Linked DNA regions of Pelodiscus sinensis. The protein of the gene in region 2 purifies or fractionates together with the protein of the main gene of each other region. This does not show direct contact. Links are inferred from orthologs where the notes say so. Each region holds a gene or a part of one and is shown on either strand. Other genes may lie near its edges.

Evidence for each region. The genes of interacting proteins can lie anywhere in the genome.
Region 1: the proteins of GALNT16 (region 2) and SLC39A11 purify together in Homo sapiens (co-immunoprecipitation; 3 studies listed by BioGRID and IntAct, counting the BioPlex papers as one, with this or other methods). This does not show direct contact. The link is inferred for Pelodiscus sinensis from reciprocal best matches to the Homo sapiens genes GALNT16 and SLC39A11.

What each region holds. Positions count from the first base shown.
Region 1 is NC_134730.1:26,553,888-26,562,162, forward strand, and holds the start of SLC39A11 (zinc transporter ZIP11), read right to left. Parts: upstream 3,365-8,275; 5' UTR 3,176-3,364; intron 1,178-3,175; exon of another isoform or gene 1,051-1,177; intron 1-1,050. UniProt on the Homo sapiens protein: Zinc importer that regulates cytosolic zinc concentrations either via zinc influx from the extracellular compartment or efflux from intracellular organelles such as Golgi apparatus. May transport copper ions as well.
Region 2 is NC_134714.1:71,017,377-71,025,294, forward strand, and holds the start of GALNT16 (polypeptide N-acetylgalactosaminyltransferase 16), read right to left. Parts: upstream 3,160-7,918; 5' UTR 2,773-3,159; coding exon 2,581-2,772; intron 1-2,580. UniProt on the Homo sapiens protein: Catalyzes the initial reaction in O-linked oligosaccharide biosynthesis, the transfer of an N-acetyl-D-galactosamine residue to a serine or threonine residue on the protein receptor.

The sequences.
Region 1 (8,275 bases), on a different chromosome or scaffold from region 2:
CGGCACGGGGTTCGAACTAGCCGGGATTTAAAAATGGCGGCGCCCGGCTTATGCAAATGAAGCCCGGGAAATTCAAATCCCGGGCTTCATTTGCAAGTGCGGTATGCCTACATTACCCTCCTAGTTCAAATTAGGAGGGTAGTGTAGACATACCCTTAGTCTGGTGAGAGCTTTTTGAAGCTCTTCCCAGTCTGCTATGGTCTTAACTATCTTGAGCAGTTTGGTGTCATCTGCAAATTTTGCCACCTCCCTGTTTGCCCCTTTCTCTAGATCATTTATAAATAAGTTGAATAGGACTAAATAGGACAGACTTTGGGGGACCCCACTAGTTACCTCTCTCCACTCTGAAAACTGACCATTTATTCCTACCCTTTGTCTCCTGTCTTTTAATGAGTTATCAATCCATGAGAAGACCTTCCCTCTTATCCCATGACAACTTACTTTACTTAAGAGCCTTTGGTGAGGGACCTTGTCAAAGGCTTTCTGGAAATCTAAGTGCACTATATCCCCCTTGTCCACATGTTTGTTGACCCCCACAAAGAACTCTAGCAGATTAGTAAGGGACAAGCGCACGAGCACACAGTTTACAGAGGCCACTGCCAGACCGTACTGTAAGGGAGACTGGGGGTTGGACTGAGGAGCCCTGGATGTAGAGTCCAAGACCGGAATGGGAGGGTGTGCTGGGGAGAGGCAGGAATGAGAGGACTCAGCAGAGAGATGGGTGGGAAAGGGCTTGAACCCCTATCTCTGTGTTGTGTCTAGCTCTAACTGGCATGTCACACAAAGAAACCACAAAACCTTTTCCCTAACTATAAGGAGAGGATTAAAATTGCAGCTCACCTTTCCAGTAGCCAAGCTGGGGACCTGCACGGCGCCTTTAACAATAGCTCTGATTAAAATTAACATAACTCTGCCTTTCTCCTGGCATGGAAAATAGCCTCAGGCCAAGAGGTGCTTTATTACATTTCAGGCTGGGTGTTTAGCTTTTCCATGCCATTTTTCTCCACCTTGGACTTTATGTCCAAACAAAGGGGCCGATTCGATTCCCAGCTCATGTGCACTGGTGTAAATCCAGAGTAACCCTACAGCCATGGATCAAGGGAGCTGCTCCAGACAGATGCCTGAGTCCCTGCGATCAGAACCTGGCCCTAAGAAAAGCTATTTTCGGAGAACTAACGTAAGTGATCCCACGGTTTGTATGTTACAGGCTCAATAACACATTAATTCTGCTGTGTGCGGGGTGCGACGCTCGCGAACCAGGCCTGTCTATCAGGCAGAGAAGCAAATGCAAAGTTGTTCCTGTCCCAATCAGTGGCATAATTGACTAGCTGGAACCACGTGGCCAACACAATTATGTTGCAAATTGAACCGAAGCCGGGGTATGCTGCTAAAGGGAGCTCTCGAGTGCAGCGGAAGGCAAAGCAGAGCTGCGTCTGAGCTATAGACGGAGAGGAGGAGGACGTGCAGACAGCAATCCGGTTACAGGAGACAGAGAGGGCAGCACACGACTAGGCATTCGTGAGAGATGAAATGATACAGTCATCATTACCAGCAGTAGCTTTATCTGCACTAGCATGCGGCTGGCATGGCAGGGCCAGCTGAGTGTGCCAGTTGGGCAAGAGAGGATGCTGGGGAGGGGCCCCCACATTCCCCATAAAACTCTTCTACTGGGAGAACATGGAGAAAGCTGCAAAAACAACGAGGAGTCCTTTGGCACCTTAGCAGATTTATTAGAGCATCAGCTTTCACGGATAAAACCCACTTCCTCAGATGAACTGAAGTGGAGTTTACAGAGGCAGGGGGATAGATACAGACAAGAAAAGAAAGGGGGTGCTTGTATAAATGAGGCTAATCAAGGCAGGGTGGAAGTGGCTCACTCACAGCACTGATGTGGAAACGTGGATATCAAAAGAGGGGGAAATTGCCTTTGTACTGCGTTAAGCAGTTAAGATCCCTATTCAATCCTAACTTGATAGTCTTGAATTTGCAAAGGAATTCTAGGTCAGCCGTCTCCCTTTGTAAGCAGTTTCTGAAATTCTTTTGTAGAAGGATGGCTATCTTCATATCCACTACTGAATGTCCCCCTATAGGTTTCAGGGTGTTATCATTTTTCGGCAGAGGCTGTCCAGTCTGGCCAACAGACATGGCAGAGAGGCATTGCTGGCACATATCACATTAGTGGACGTGCAGGTGGATGAGCCCTTGATGATGTGAGGAACTCAGTGTCTATAGAACCTCAGTCCCTGCTTCATTACTCCCCGTTACGGCATCAGCCCCTGGCTTGGGCTTGGCTGTGCTAGAAAGCGACAGGGCTTTGGCGAAACGGTTTAGTTAAATTGGTACAAATCTCTTAGGGTGCATGTAGACTACATTCCTCTTTCAAAAGAGGAATGCAAATGAAGGAAATCGAAAATGCAAATGAAGCGCTGATTTACAAATCTCGTGCTTCATTTGCATAATCTCGTCCAATCGCTTTTTCAGAAGAGATTTTTTTCCCAAAAAAAAAAACTAGTTTAGACGGGATTCTTTAAAAAAACAAACCTCTTTCAAAAGAATCCTTATTCCTGAAAAAATGAGGTTTACAGAGTTCTTTTGAAAAAGTGGTAGTTTTTGAAAGAACCATGTCTAAATTGTTTTTTTTTAAATCTCTTCCGAAAAAGCGATCAGACGAGATTATTCAAATGAAGCGCGAGATTTGTAAATCAGCGCTTCATTTGCATTTTCGATTTCCCTCATTTGCATTCCTTTTTCGAAAGAGGAATGTGGCCTAGACACACTCTGACGCAGGTAAACAGGCGCACCTCTCAGGGCCACTAGGCAGCTGCCAACACGTGTGAAGGCAAGAGGGGGAAAGGTTAAAGCCGCGTACACACACCTGCATTAGAGACGTGTACGAGTTTAGCTCCAGGGCAGAGCCCTGCTCACCCGGTACGCTGCTGTTCGCGAGTCATTGCTAGAATTACCTTCTCCTGCTGGGAGGATTATTGTGCGCAGTACAATAGCACTTTAGAGGCCCCAGCCAAGATCCAGGGCCATTGTGAAAGATGCTGTTTTATGGGGAAACTGAGGCACGGGGCAACTAAGAGCCAGATTCTCTGCTGGTGTAAACCAGAATCGCGTCATTAACATGGAAGTGTTTTGCTCAGGTTTACATGGGAAGCCAGATGTGTCTTACCTCCCTCTGAGACAAGCCCTTGAGAGCCCGAAAGGCTCGGCCCCTTGGCTCCTGGCTCACTCTCCATGTTGAGGCTGCAGGGATGAGACTGGCTGGGGATAAAGCTTCTTCCTGCCATGAGGGAGGCAATCCAGCCTGGTGACGTGGCTTGTACCCCTTGTCCCTCTTCGCCCTCGTTCTGACGGGCAGGCTCCGTCCTGCCCGGCCAGGCCAGGCCTGGGACCCGGTGTGGGAGGGAAAAGGGGAAACTTGGAATCTCTGTGGATCAATCCCTCCTGCATAAACAAGAATCTCAGAGCGATGACCCAGCATTTCTGCTGTCAATAATTAACAAGGGCAAGAGCAGCGAGAGCCACGGAAGGGACCACCCGACCGGCCAGTCACAGCAGAAGGGGAGCAGCAGGCCTGGCTGAGACGCACCCTGCCTGCATAGGGATTTCCATACCCAGCAACAGGCCAGCGCGCCGGTAAGCTCTGCTCCAGGGGAGCACATTCCATTTGCTAGTTTCACTGCTCCGCTCTTCCAGAAACCCTCCCTCTCCAGTCAGTGTCCCTACCTGCCACAGTGCGGAGGTGGGTTTGGACAGGGGCAGGGCCTTGGTAAAAGGGTCGGGGAAGGAGGCGAGCCCAGGGCGTTTGGGTCTGAGCTAGATCCTGGGTTGCGCTTACATTCAAAAAGGGACCAAATGAAAGTAATGGGCAGCAGGTTTAAAATGAATAAAAGGAAGTTCTTCTCACAGCGCAGTCAACCTGTGGAACTCCTTGCCTGAGGAGGTTGTGAAGGACTATAACAGGGTTTAAAAGAGAACTAGGTAAATTCATGGAGGTTAAGGCCATTAATGGCTATTAGGCAGGATGGGTAAGGACTGGTGTCCCTAGCCTCTGTTTGTCAGAGGGTGGAGATGGATGGCAGGAGAGAGATGGCTTGATCATTCCCTGTTCTGTTCCCTCTCTCTGGGGCACCTGGCATTGGACACTGTGGGTACTGGGGTGGATGGACCTTGGGTCTGACCCAGTCTGGCCGTTCTGATGTTTTTATGACCTTGTGCTTAAAAAGGTTGGCCACCACTAGCTGAGACTAAAGCTTTCCATCCCTCTGGAGGCTCGGCTGCCTGCCGTAGGCTGAAAGCAGAAGAGACCAGCCTGCCCCCAAACGCCCAGGGCCCCTGCAATGCCAGGGAGCTGATTAGGTGAGACATGCTCCCAGCTGGTGAACTACACCCAGGGGCAGCCTGTGACTATAGGCCGACTCGGCCGTCGCCTTCAACGGCACCCAATGATGACATCACGGGGCACCCGGGGCGCCCGATGATGACATCACTCCATTGACAGCTGTGCAGGCGGGGGCGCTAATTGTGCGTTCCGCCTGGGGCGCCAGCTGCCGCAGCCTGCCTCGGACCACTCCTGACTACACCCCGCGCTGCGGGAAAAATCCCAATGTCACAGCCAATCTGACGTGCGGAAAATTCCTCCCTGACACCAAACGGGTTGGGTCCGGTGTGCACACCCCACACTAGGCCGGGGGGGGGAGGGTACAGAGGAAGTCCCGCCCCCTCCCCAGCCGTACTGGGCATGCTCGAAGTGCTGGGCCAATATAAAAGGAAGCAACTCAGCTCCGTCTGGAGTGGATGCTGGAGAGGAAGGACTTGAGGCGGGAGCTTCAGCTGAGAATAAGCCACAGAGCTTGTGGGAGGAGGTAGGAGCCCCGAGGACCGAAATAAGCCGCCACAGCTGATGGAGCACCAAGGAGTGACTGATGTTGAGGAACCTGAAGATCCCGAAGCTTCGTGGGCAGCCACGCCACAGAGTACCATAAGAAATGATCCAGGGAGGGGCCGCAAATGGTATCTCCCACCTGCTGTTTCGGTGAGATTCCCCGCTGAGCCAGTGGTGGACTGATCAGCCACTGCCAGGGAGTAGTGGAGTCAGGTGGGCCCAAGCCCTTCTATAATGGGCCACTAGACCTTCCCTGTTGGTGGCCCTTTTGGTACTGGCTATTAGGCTACACTGCCCTGTAGTGAAGAGCTGTTCGTTGACTCTAGCTATTAGGCCATGCTGCCTTGGACGATGGGTCTGGTGCCTTTGCCCTAGACCTAGGACCATGGGATGGGTGAGGTCTGAGATCACCCCCCGGTTGTAACTGCGATGTTGACACATATCCTCCTCCCACCCCCTTGGGGGACGCAGTGTGCAGACACTGTGACCCTAGGCATGTGAGCACGACACATCAGCCAGGCATCAGAGACAGAGGAGTTTTGTACCAGCTCGGAGCCCCCATCTGTCCTGTCTGGTGTCCCATCTCCAGCAACGGCCAGTCATGGCCAAGCATTGGTGCGAGTTCTTGGGCTATTACCCCGACTCCGCCCTCTAGGTCTGTCTCCCCATCCGCCAGACACAATAATCCCGATCTGCTTCTTGGGAGGAGCAGGCCTAAGGCTTTGTTAGTTCTTGCACGACGTGTTACGCTCCTCCGGAGACAGCTGTCGCAGAAGAGAAAAGTATCTTTTCCCAAACACCAGCGGTATCTTGTCCCAAAGGGAGAGAACCCTCCTCCGCTTTGTGTTGTTGACACAACACAGGTCTGAATCCAGAGTCTGCTCCAGTTTCCTGCAAAGCATGTGAGATTTCCCCAGCTTTGCCACACTGGTGTCACTGTCGCTTTGGTTTTTGAAACCTACGCCATAATGCCATGCATCGTGAGAGTAGCATCAACTCTCCTTCCCAGCATTGGTAATGTTTGTCCGAAATGCAAACCGTTACCCCCATGGGGAGCCAAGCGGCTAAACGCTCAAGAAATGTGCTGGCTAATGCCAAGCGATACTCTGTTAATTAAGGATCAGAGGGGTGGCCGTGTTAGTCTGAATCTGCAAAAGCGGCGAGGAGTCCTGTGGCACCTTAGAGACTAACTGAAGTGTAGGAGCATAAGATGCATCTGACGAAGTGGGTCTTTGCCCAAGAAAGCTTATGCTCCTACACTTCAGTTAGTCTCTATGGGTATGTCTAGACTACAGGGTTTTGTCGACAGAAGTTTTGTCAACAGATACAGTCAACAAAGCTTCTGTCAACAAAAAGCATCTAGACTGCAGCCAGTTCTGTCGACAAAGCAAGCTGCTTTGTCGACATAACAGTGTGGACGCAAAGGACAGTGTAGATGCAATAATGCCTTCTATCGACAGAACTCTGTCAACAAAAGGCGTTATTCCTCGTAGAATGAGGTTTACATACGTCGACAAAACTGCTGAGTTTTGTCGACGTTATGTCGACATAACTCAAAGGCAGTGTGGACACAGGTATAGTTTTGCCGACAAAAGTCCACTTTTGTCGACAAAACCCTGTAGTCTAGACACACCCTAAGGTGCCACAGAACTCCTCGCCGCTTTTGTTAATTAATAGGGAGCCTGCAACACACAATGGGCCCCAGTCTCAATGACACCAAAGGAAAACAGCAACTCGGGGCCCCTGATGAGAAAACAAGAGGAGAATCCAGAGCATTCATGATGTTGATAAAAGGAAAACACTTCTGTTTCCAGCTGGCAACTTCCCCTGAAAGCTTGTTGTGCTTTGGCCTTGGCCGGCGCTAGAGTAGTACAAAGAAAAGCGAAGCCCACAATGAGAAAACTAGAGTGAGCAGATGTCCTGATTTTATCAGGACAGTCCTGATATCTGGGGCTTTATCTCATATAGGCACCTATTATCCCCTCCACCCACACACACACCACAGCCCAAATTTTCACTGTCTGGTCACCTTAACTTTCCAGATGCCACATCAGTCACAACATCTGCACCTCCTCTAATGTGATGTTTGCCATCAAGTGCCAACAAGGCCTTTCTGCCATGACTATTGGCCAAACCGGACAGTCTCTGCGCCAAAGGATAAATGGACACACATCGGACATCAGGAATGGCAACACCCACAAACCTGACGGGGAACATGTCAACCTGCCTGGTCAATCAGTCATGGATTTAAAAGTAGCCATGCTCCTCCAAAGGAATTTCACCTCCCAGTTACAGAGACAGAGCAGAATTCATCTGCAAATTTGACACTATTTCCCTGGGCTTGAACAAAGATATTAACTGGATGTTGCATAATAAAGCCAGTCTCCCCTGCCTTTCACTCCTCATTTTCACATCAAATCAAAGTATGGGACACTTCCAGCCCACTTAATTAGCCTCATTAGCCCCGGTCCTACAATGACAGGTACCTATTTCCCCCTTCTTTGTGTTATAAATTCTATACATTTGTGTTATCCCTTTCCAGCTCCTCTGAAGAAGTGGGTTTTGCCCACAAAAGCTCGTGATACTACCTACTTTGTGTTAGTCTCTATGGTGTTCCAGGATGGCTCGTTCTTTCCAGCTAGACCATCCAAGAGTTCAAACGGCCAGAGCGAAATATTGGCCCTAACAGAATCAGTGGCAACTTTCTGTTGTTTCCCAGGGAGGCCAGGATTTCACCGCATGTCAGTTCCCCAGTGTAACTTCATCAAGGGAGAAAACCAGCACAGAAAAGTCTGAACAATACGACCAGCTGAGCTACTGTCAAACCAGCTCGCCAACAGGCGGAGCCCCAGTTGGCAAAGACATTCTGGCCAAATGTGCCAACGCGGCCTTTAAGTTTTGGGTGTCTCTATTTTTTGGAAGCCAGTCGTCTTCGCTGTCAGACGCCCCCTCCTGTGCATTTCTCCCACCGGTTTTACTGCTCACAAAATCAGCAAGGCAACTGGATCGGACTGTACGACCCCCTCTTGATTCCTCCGCCTGTAGCGGTCCCCTCAGGGGACACCCTGAGTACTTATTCACCCGTTGTTCTAATGGTCCCCACGGGATTTTGACTTTGCGTATAGAACGGGCTGCAGGGGCGGGCAAATTCAGAACAGCCCATGTACTCTGAACTAGCATCCCCACCGATTGATAGGATCTGCTCTGATGCTGGGTTAGACATCAGCCTTACATCTTCACAGGTCCTAAAAGAGCTTAGAAAGCTTTGACATCCCCCCGTTTCCGCCCGAACACTGCTAGCCGCTGTGCACCCTTGCTAGCCAAAAACCATTTGAATCAGCCATGTAGCTGCTAATCGGTCATTTTTGTTTGGTTTTGGGACGG
Region 2 (7,918 bases):
CAAATTCATTATGCAGCTTCCTTTCATCATAACTTAAAGGCAGGTAAGGGGTTGGTTGTTCCAGGAAAACAGGATGTGCCTGGAATGGGATTGCTTCTCATAAAACCATACAGAAAAGAGACGGAATCACCAGGCAGGTGAAAGGATCCGACTGTCCCCCCCTCGGGACTACTATAGCCCTAAGCTTCCCAACCTCCAGGAGCCCCATAGGGAGGGTGGGGAGGCTAACGCTCTCCTCCACACCAGATTCTTACAAGGACATTGGTGGCTGTTCCCCTTTGTCAGGGAGTGAGGAGAAAGTGCAGTTTGTTGCATTCCTCACACTGGCTGGGGAACACAGGGGGCAGATGAGATGTGCACTTTGCTCTGGAAGGGGAAGAGCAAGGAGCCCTTATACTAATCTTAGGTGGGGCTTCAGCCTCACACACACACACACACACACACACACACACACAATCACAATCCCAATCCCTGCCCTTGAGCCCCTCCTCACCTCCAACCCTAACTCCTGCACTCAAACCCACAGCTCCCAGCCCTGACCTCTCCTTAAGGACCCAAACAACACTGGTAAATATTTGAGACATGTGGTCACTTAGAAGATCCAACTGCTTCCATTCTCCTGCTTCCTTGTAGAAATGGATTGTTGCCAGGTTCAGGAAGGAGTATTGCATGTACAGCACTGTACTGCCAATCAGTTGCATTACAGGGGGGTTTCACCTTCCTCTCTCCCATTACCTATTGGCCACTATTGCAGACAAGAATATGGGATAGACCAGTATAACAGCAAATCCTATCATCTCAATTACAGAGGGGAAAGTGGAGGCAGAGTCTGTATTACCCCTCTGTATTAATGGGATTGGGATGGAAGTCCCAGTTAGACTGATCCATTCCTATTTTTAACGACAAAAATATTCTATGGTACTCCACTAATAATGCCTTAGTTTAACAATAATGACTCAAACTACTACAGCTTATCATCACACAATTTGTGTATGTCTATCAGCATGAACTCATACACACACTAGTAATATAATAATACTTGGCACTTCTACAGAATCTTCCTGCCGAGGATTTCAAGAGGCTCTGCAAACCTGAAGTCATGAAGCTACACAACCCCTCCATGAGGCAGCTAAGTACATATGATTTTTCTCATATGGGAGTAACTGAGATATTGTCCAAAGTTACAAAGCAAGCCATTAAGAAAAGCCAAGAATCCTGGTGCCTAGATTCCTGCTCTATTAGACCATGGTGCTTCTGTTCCTTCCAATGTCTGTGTAATCAGATCATTCATAGACAAATGCAAACAATAACGCATCTTCCAATTTTGAAGTGGTCTTGCCCAGGTTACCACTGAGAATGGGCTCAAAGAGTTTTTTATTTGGTTACTTGCATTATTTCTTACAATAAATAGTGGGCTTTTTTATTATTACCTTGCAGCCTGAAAGAGGAAAAAACCTTCTCCAATTGATAGAGCTGAATAGTTGTTCTCTCCCCTAATACAGGGAGAGCAGAAACTCTATTTGACCCCACTGCCAAACCCCTGCACATCCCCAGGAAAAGTGGAGGGCAGGTCTTTTTGTCACAGTGCCTTTCAAATGAGAGTCAGAAATCAAATAGGTGGGAAGCAGGGAGCCAGTCTGGATACAAGCAGGGATAAACAAAGGCTCCCTACTCCTCCTGTCTTCCTCTGAGATCAACTGAAATCTACCAGCAGAGAGCTTCCTCTGGCTTAATTCAGTTTTAACTTCCAAGCTCACATCCTGCGCTCTGGTCTTCTGTTAGGATGTACAACAACTAAGGGATGATGCAGCTGAGACCACCAAACCCGCCACATGGCAGTGTGGGTGTTGCAACATTATTCTCCCAACTCCCACAATCCTTCCCCAGCACGATCATGTAGCCCAGGACCCAAGAAACTGTTTTCTGCAAATGCAGACCCTTCTGGCCTTACTTAAAACATGCAGCTTGAACACAAACCAACAGATGTAATTGGGCATAAGCTTTTGTGAGTAAAACCCACTTTGTCAGATGCAATGGACAATCTGATGAAGTGGGCTTTACCCACAGAAGCCGATGCCCAAGTAAATCTGTTAGTCTCTAAGGTACCACTGGACTCCTTGTTGTTTTTACAGGGGCTACCCCTCTGAGACAAACCAACATGCCTTCCCGGCTGTTTCAGCCACCCCTTTCGTCCATCCAGAAAGGAAATGCAGCTCCCATCCAAAGAGGAACAGACCCTGGCCATCCAGTGGACGGGACTGCAAACACTTCACGTTCAGCAGGAGTCTGTTTCTCCAAGCCTTTGGATGGTGCTCCCCAATTGGAAACGCTGCCATGGTGACACGCCTGAGGGCTAAAACAAACATAAAGACACCCATGCAAATGGCACACCTCCCTCTAACGGACCCACCGCCCCCCATTCATTCACCAACCCCACCGATCTCCGACAAACGGGATGAATGCTCCTGCCAACACCTCACGCGGCAGCGGCAGCGGCACCACCACGCCACGCAATTTCTCTGCAAGGACAGGGGCTGGCGAATTAAAATGTAAGCCGCTCTCCCGGCGCGTCTCACTCACAATGAGGGGGATGGTCCCATCTTCCCTGCGGCTCTCCAGCCGCGCAGCTGATCTCTGCCCGCTCCTGCCGCTGCCGGGGGATCTGCTGGATGCTGCTGAATGAGGCTTGTTGTCCTGCCATAAGTAATAGAAAGTGCCCAGGATCCAGGCGACCGTCAGGATCGCAATGGCATTAGCCCTGATCCGCCTCATCCCGAAAGCCCCAGTGGCGCCTGGGAGCCTGGAGAGGAGGTTTCCAGGGGGTCAGAGGAGCAAAGGCTCAGCAGGACTCTGTGCAAGGGAGGTGGGGGGAGGCTGCTGGGGGAGCGGTGATGGGATTCTCTCTCGCGCGCTCTCTGGCCGGCTCTTACAGCCACAGCTGTTTGTTTTAGCTCTGGTCTCACTGCTCAGTCCTGCAGAGCGAAAAAAAAAGGAGCGAGATCCTCAGGGTCCTAATGCCCTTTCTTCCACAGCGGCCGCAGATGGGCCCGTCCGTCTCCAGGCCCCGGGCCAGCCGCGCATTGGCACGGTGGCATCTGTGGCGGGAACGTGTGTAGGGGGGAGATCTAACGCAGCTTCTCCATCTCCAGTTTCTGTAACTTGCTCCCCAAGTGCCTCTGGCCAGCGGCTGCGGTAGGAGGTTTTATTTTAGTTCTGGTGTTTCAGGGGCCCTGAGGGCTAAGGGTTGATGGCAGAGAAGAGCGAGTGGGGGGTTAGCTCTGCATTTAGGGGTGTTGGATGGTGCCGTGGGACTTGAGTGGCACAACATTCATGTCAGGTAACAATCAGCTGGAGAGATGGTGCCTGGGATCCATTTCAAACAGGCCACAACACATTTACCTGAAACCATCCCATGTGAACAGCTTGCAGAGCAAAAGACTCTGTCTCTCCTGGTCTGTTGGCCCCACTGAAAAGAAGAGAACTAAGCTAATGTCAAATAAGCTACTGATCTGACCTGGTTACCAATGGCATGCCTCTGCCTTAGGTACTTTTGGCATGCAGCTGTGCAGTCAGTGAGGCACACTCTGAGTCAATGCTGCCTGAGCACACGCCCAGCATGACAATAGGGGATGCTTGGCAGCTGGACATGCTGGCTTTCAGCTGCCTGAGACATGAACCCAAAGTCTTAACCTTGTGGTCTTAAGAGTTCCGTTATTCTTGCAGGGACATTCAGTCCCCACATCTGGTCAGATTCCACTGTGGACAGTTACACTCTGCCTTCTTAAATGCCCCTTTCAGTTTCAGCAGAGTCGGGATCCAATATTCTTCAGCCTGCGTGCTAGAGCAGAGAGTGGTGGTGTGCCCTGTTGGACAGCGCTGCTGTACCATCTTTGACAGAGTTGCATTGCTAGATCCTGCACTGCAGTTTCAAGTGGCAAACAGGGAATTTCCTCTATTTGCCATGGCTCAAGATCTGAGCTCTGTGAACCCAGATCATTCTTTCACTGATTATCAGAAATGGGTTTAAGGATTGTGCTATTCATGCTGTTTTTATAATATGGAAGAATATTCTTAAGCTTCTGCCCAAGGTACTAGATGGTCTTCTTTGGCAGCAAATTAATAACTCCCAGGTACTTGAGCCCTTCAGGAGTGCCCTTTATTGATTGTGATATGAACTCTTCAAGGCACAAGATGAGGCAGGAAAGTTTATGTCCTCCGAGGGATTAATAAAGGCACAATATGGTCCAGACTACAAGCCAGATCCCTCCTTCCCTGGAAAGTACACAGACAATGAGTTTAGTAGAGTTTCACTGGAAGACATGAGTGGGCCATAGGTTTGGAAGCTGTACCTCCTCCTCTCAGATCCTTGCATAGTAAACAGAAGCCATTTTGCAGGAAAGGCTACTAATCTTTCTAACCATGACTTTGCCAGGTTCCATCTTGGCTTGCTCTTCTGGCTGGCAGCATGTCTAGTGAAAAGCCAGACACCACAATACTGACTGGGGGGAGTGGGTGTCTGGAACTGGAGAAAGCCATCCAACCAAATATTCCTGTCCTGGTTTAATTTAGGTTGATTGAGCTTTCCTGCTTTTTCCAAGAACACTGCTTATCCACTACCTAGAAACAAATAATTTAGAGCTTTCCCAGGAACTGATTTCTTATGCCAATTATCAGTTAAATTGAACAACTCCCAGGGAACCTCTGTACACCTGATTCCTCATTTCCACATCTCCAGCATTTGACCCTCTCCAAACAGAGACCTCTCTGCTCTATCCATTTCTTTCCTAATGGCAAACCCTTCCATTAGGTTAGCCCAACGTCTTCTCTTTTCTACCCAGAATAAACCCAACTTCATGAATCTCTCCATTATATTGATTCTTCAGTGGCACTATCAGCTTAACACTAATCTCCTTTGCATGGCAATAATCTCCACCCGCTGAAAGATACCCTGCCTTGTATTCCATATGTAAGAGGATCTATGAAGGTTGTATGCAGTCGCAGTATCACCACTTACATTTTGCCATTACACTCTAGCTGCTTGCCATCTGTCAATGAAATGTAGTACTTTGTTTATTATTAAAATACCCATTAGGGATGTTGGATATCAATTAATTGAATAATCGTGTAACACTGTCAAAACTTAGCACTCCCAACCTCACTCCTGGGGAGCCCCCTGCCATCCCACACTGCTGTCTCTGTCTCAGAGGCAGCAGCGTGGGGTGGCAGGCTGGAGCCAGTCCATGAGTGGTTTAAAAAACCAGCTCCAGACACAGATTAGCTCCCACCTGCCACCCCCCGCTGCTGCCTCTGAGACAGAAGCAGCAGCGCAGGATGGCAGCAGCTTCTCTCTGGGGGGGGGGGGCGAGCTCCCTGTGGATAGAAGCTGCACCGGCATCCCACGAAGCAGCCTCTGTGGTAAGCCTGGGCCCGCCACAGACAGAGGCTGCTCCATGGCAGCGTCCCCTGCCCCCTCTCCCATGTTGCTGCCTCTGATAGAGGCAGCAGCATGGCGGGCAAGTGGCTTCACGAAGCTGGCATGTGCAGAGACCCAGCTTGAAAGCTGGCTCCCCACATGTGCTGGCTCCTGCCTGCCCACCTCACCCTCCACACTGCTGCCTCTCTATCAGAGGCAGTAGTGTGGGAAGGCAGGGGACAGGCAGCTCCACAAGATCAGGTGCTTGTGGGGAGTCAGCTCAAAAGCCGGCTCCCCATGTGCAGTGGCTCCTGCCTCCCGGCCCCCTTGCTGCCTCTGATCCAGAGGCAGCAAGAGGAAGGGAGTGTATGAGTCATTAAGATTAACCAATAAGCCCAGGCTTACTGGCTAATTGTGTAGTAGACTACACATTTACATCTCTAATACCCATTAGTTTTTTTTTGTTTTTTTTTTTTTATATAAAGAATCCCACATCGATTCTCTTTTGACTTGCCTAGCCATCTATACCTGAACTGAATGAGTATAAAATGCTCCCAGCTGGGTAAGTGAATAGAAAATTCTAATCTGGTTGGGTTTTATACAGCTGTGAAAGAGACAGTCAAGAGTTAGACCTGTTTTTACTAAGAATTAACAACTGCACAATAAATGACTGAGTTGTACATGCTGCAGATGGGATTAGTGACAGTAGGGTACAGGCCATCCAGTTAAAGCTGCAGCTGGTTCAAGAACACTATTGAGTTATCTTCGGAAGCAACCACACTTTGCACAAAGTCTGGGAATCTGATCGTGTTGCCAGCACACATTATTGGTTACTAATGAGTTCCTTTTATTAAAGGGACTCTCTCCAGCTGAAGGCAGGAGGACAGCAGCAATAAAAATCCTGAAATGCACACACCATGTAATTCTTAAGACTGTCTCCAGTATAGATCATTTCAGTGGGTGACGGGAAGGAGATGAATGTTCCATCACAGTTCCGGGGTAACTACATGTGTCTTGCCTCTTGCTGGCTCGCTGCAAGAGTATCCTGTCAGGTCTCAAATCTCCAGCCATCACTAGTCTTTGGGTAGAGTCCTTGGGTCAGTCTTTTCTGACCAGGGGTTTAGAGGCTCCACAGCCCCCTGTCTCATGCTGTGATATCTTCAGCAAGCCAGTCTAATGGCCAGTGCCTGTGTGTTGTTTTCTCTCTGCAGGCTATCGCCAGTGCATTGCCAGAAGTTACAAGTGACCGTTCAGCTTTTTCTACATAAGCACATTTATTCCCTAGGTAAAAGCATTACAAAAAATAAAACAGACTTAAATACTCACAAAACATGCTAGGAGTCACTCTCCAGTCTGATGGGCCCCTAATAGACCAAAGTCTTTCCAACCATTCTATAACAACTGCTCCTGCCCTTAACAGTAGGTCCTGTTTGCTGGATCAGAAAGAAGACCCTCAGCCAGTTCAAACTTAGCCCTTTTATACCAAAAGCCTTTTCTCTGCCTGAGTCTCTGGAAAAACCAACCGGAACCAGCAAATGCAAACACCCTGGTGGGAGAGAGGGAGCTCCTCTGGAGTTGTTTACAATCCCCACAGGTAATCACCACTCCCCACACCCCAGTTTTATTTCCTGGAGGAGCTGCGATAACCTTCCCCCATGCAGTAGAACACAGTGGTGTAAAAACCATTCTTACAGTTAATACACTGGTCCCAAAGATGCTACATGGGGCTGTAATACCTGCCACAGCTTTACCTGCAGAAGATATGAGATGTTACCTCAGGAAAGGATCTGTGAGTGCTATTATTAGTCAATGAAACCAGGATAAATAAAGGTACTCAGGTGCCTAGGTTCAGAACCCTTGCTTCCAGTTTTATGCTCCACTGTGATCCACAAAACTCCCACTGTAGCCTGGCAGTGTCTAAACTCACTCAACAGCTATGTTTTCAGGGTAATAGTTCTTGCTGCACCCAAGTTTGTGCTTTTGAGCTTTCACTCTACTGCCTCCCTCCTGCCTAACCCCAGAGTGATTCACAGCCTGCAGAGATGGGGCATTTAGCCATCTGTCTCATGTGGGGCCTGATCTGGTAGGCATACTCAGAGGCCACGTACCAAAAGGTCCCATTCAAAACCTGGTCAGAGGAGGTGCCCACCTTAAAACTTTTAGCCTTTGTGAGAGAGCTAAGTACAATTCCCCCACTTTTCTTGATGGGGAGAAAAGATTTAAACTAATGTCTCCGCCAACCATCACCCTATAGGACAGTCTGCTGTAAGATACACTCCATCTTTCCCATTGAAGTTGTTGCTCTGTGTATAAATTAGTCATAGAGCAGGGAACAAGACCCTGGTCTCTTACCTGGTACCCTAATCAGCAGGCTCTAAAGCAGGGCTGGGCAAAACGTGGCCCAGGGGCCACATCTGGCCCTCCTAACACTTTGATCTGGACCACAGACTGCATCTGGCCACTTTCTATTTATATCCTGCTGCCCATACCACCAAATTCTCAGGT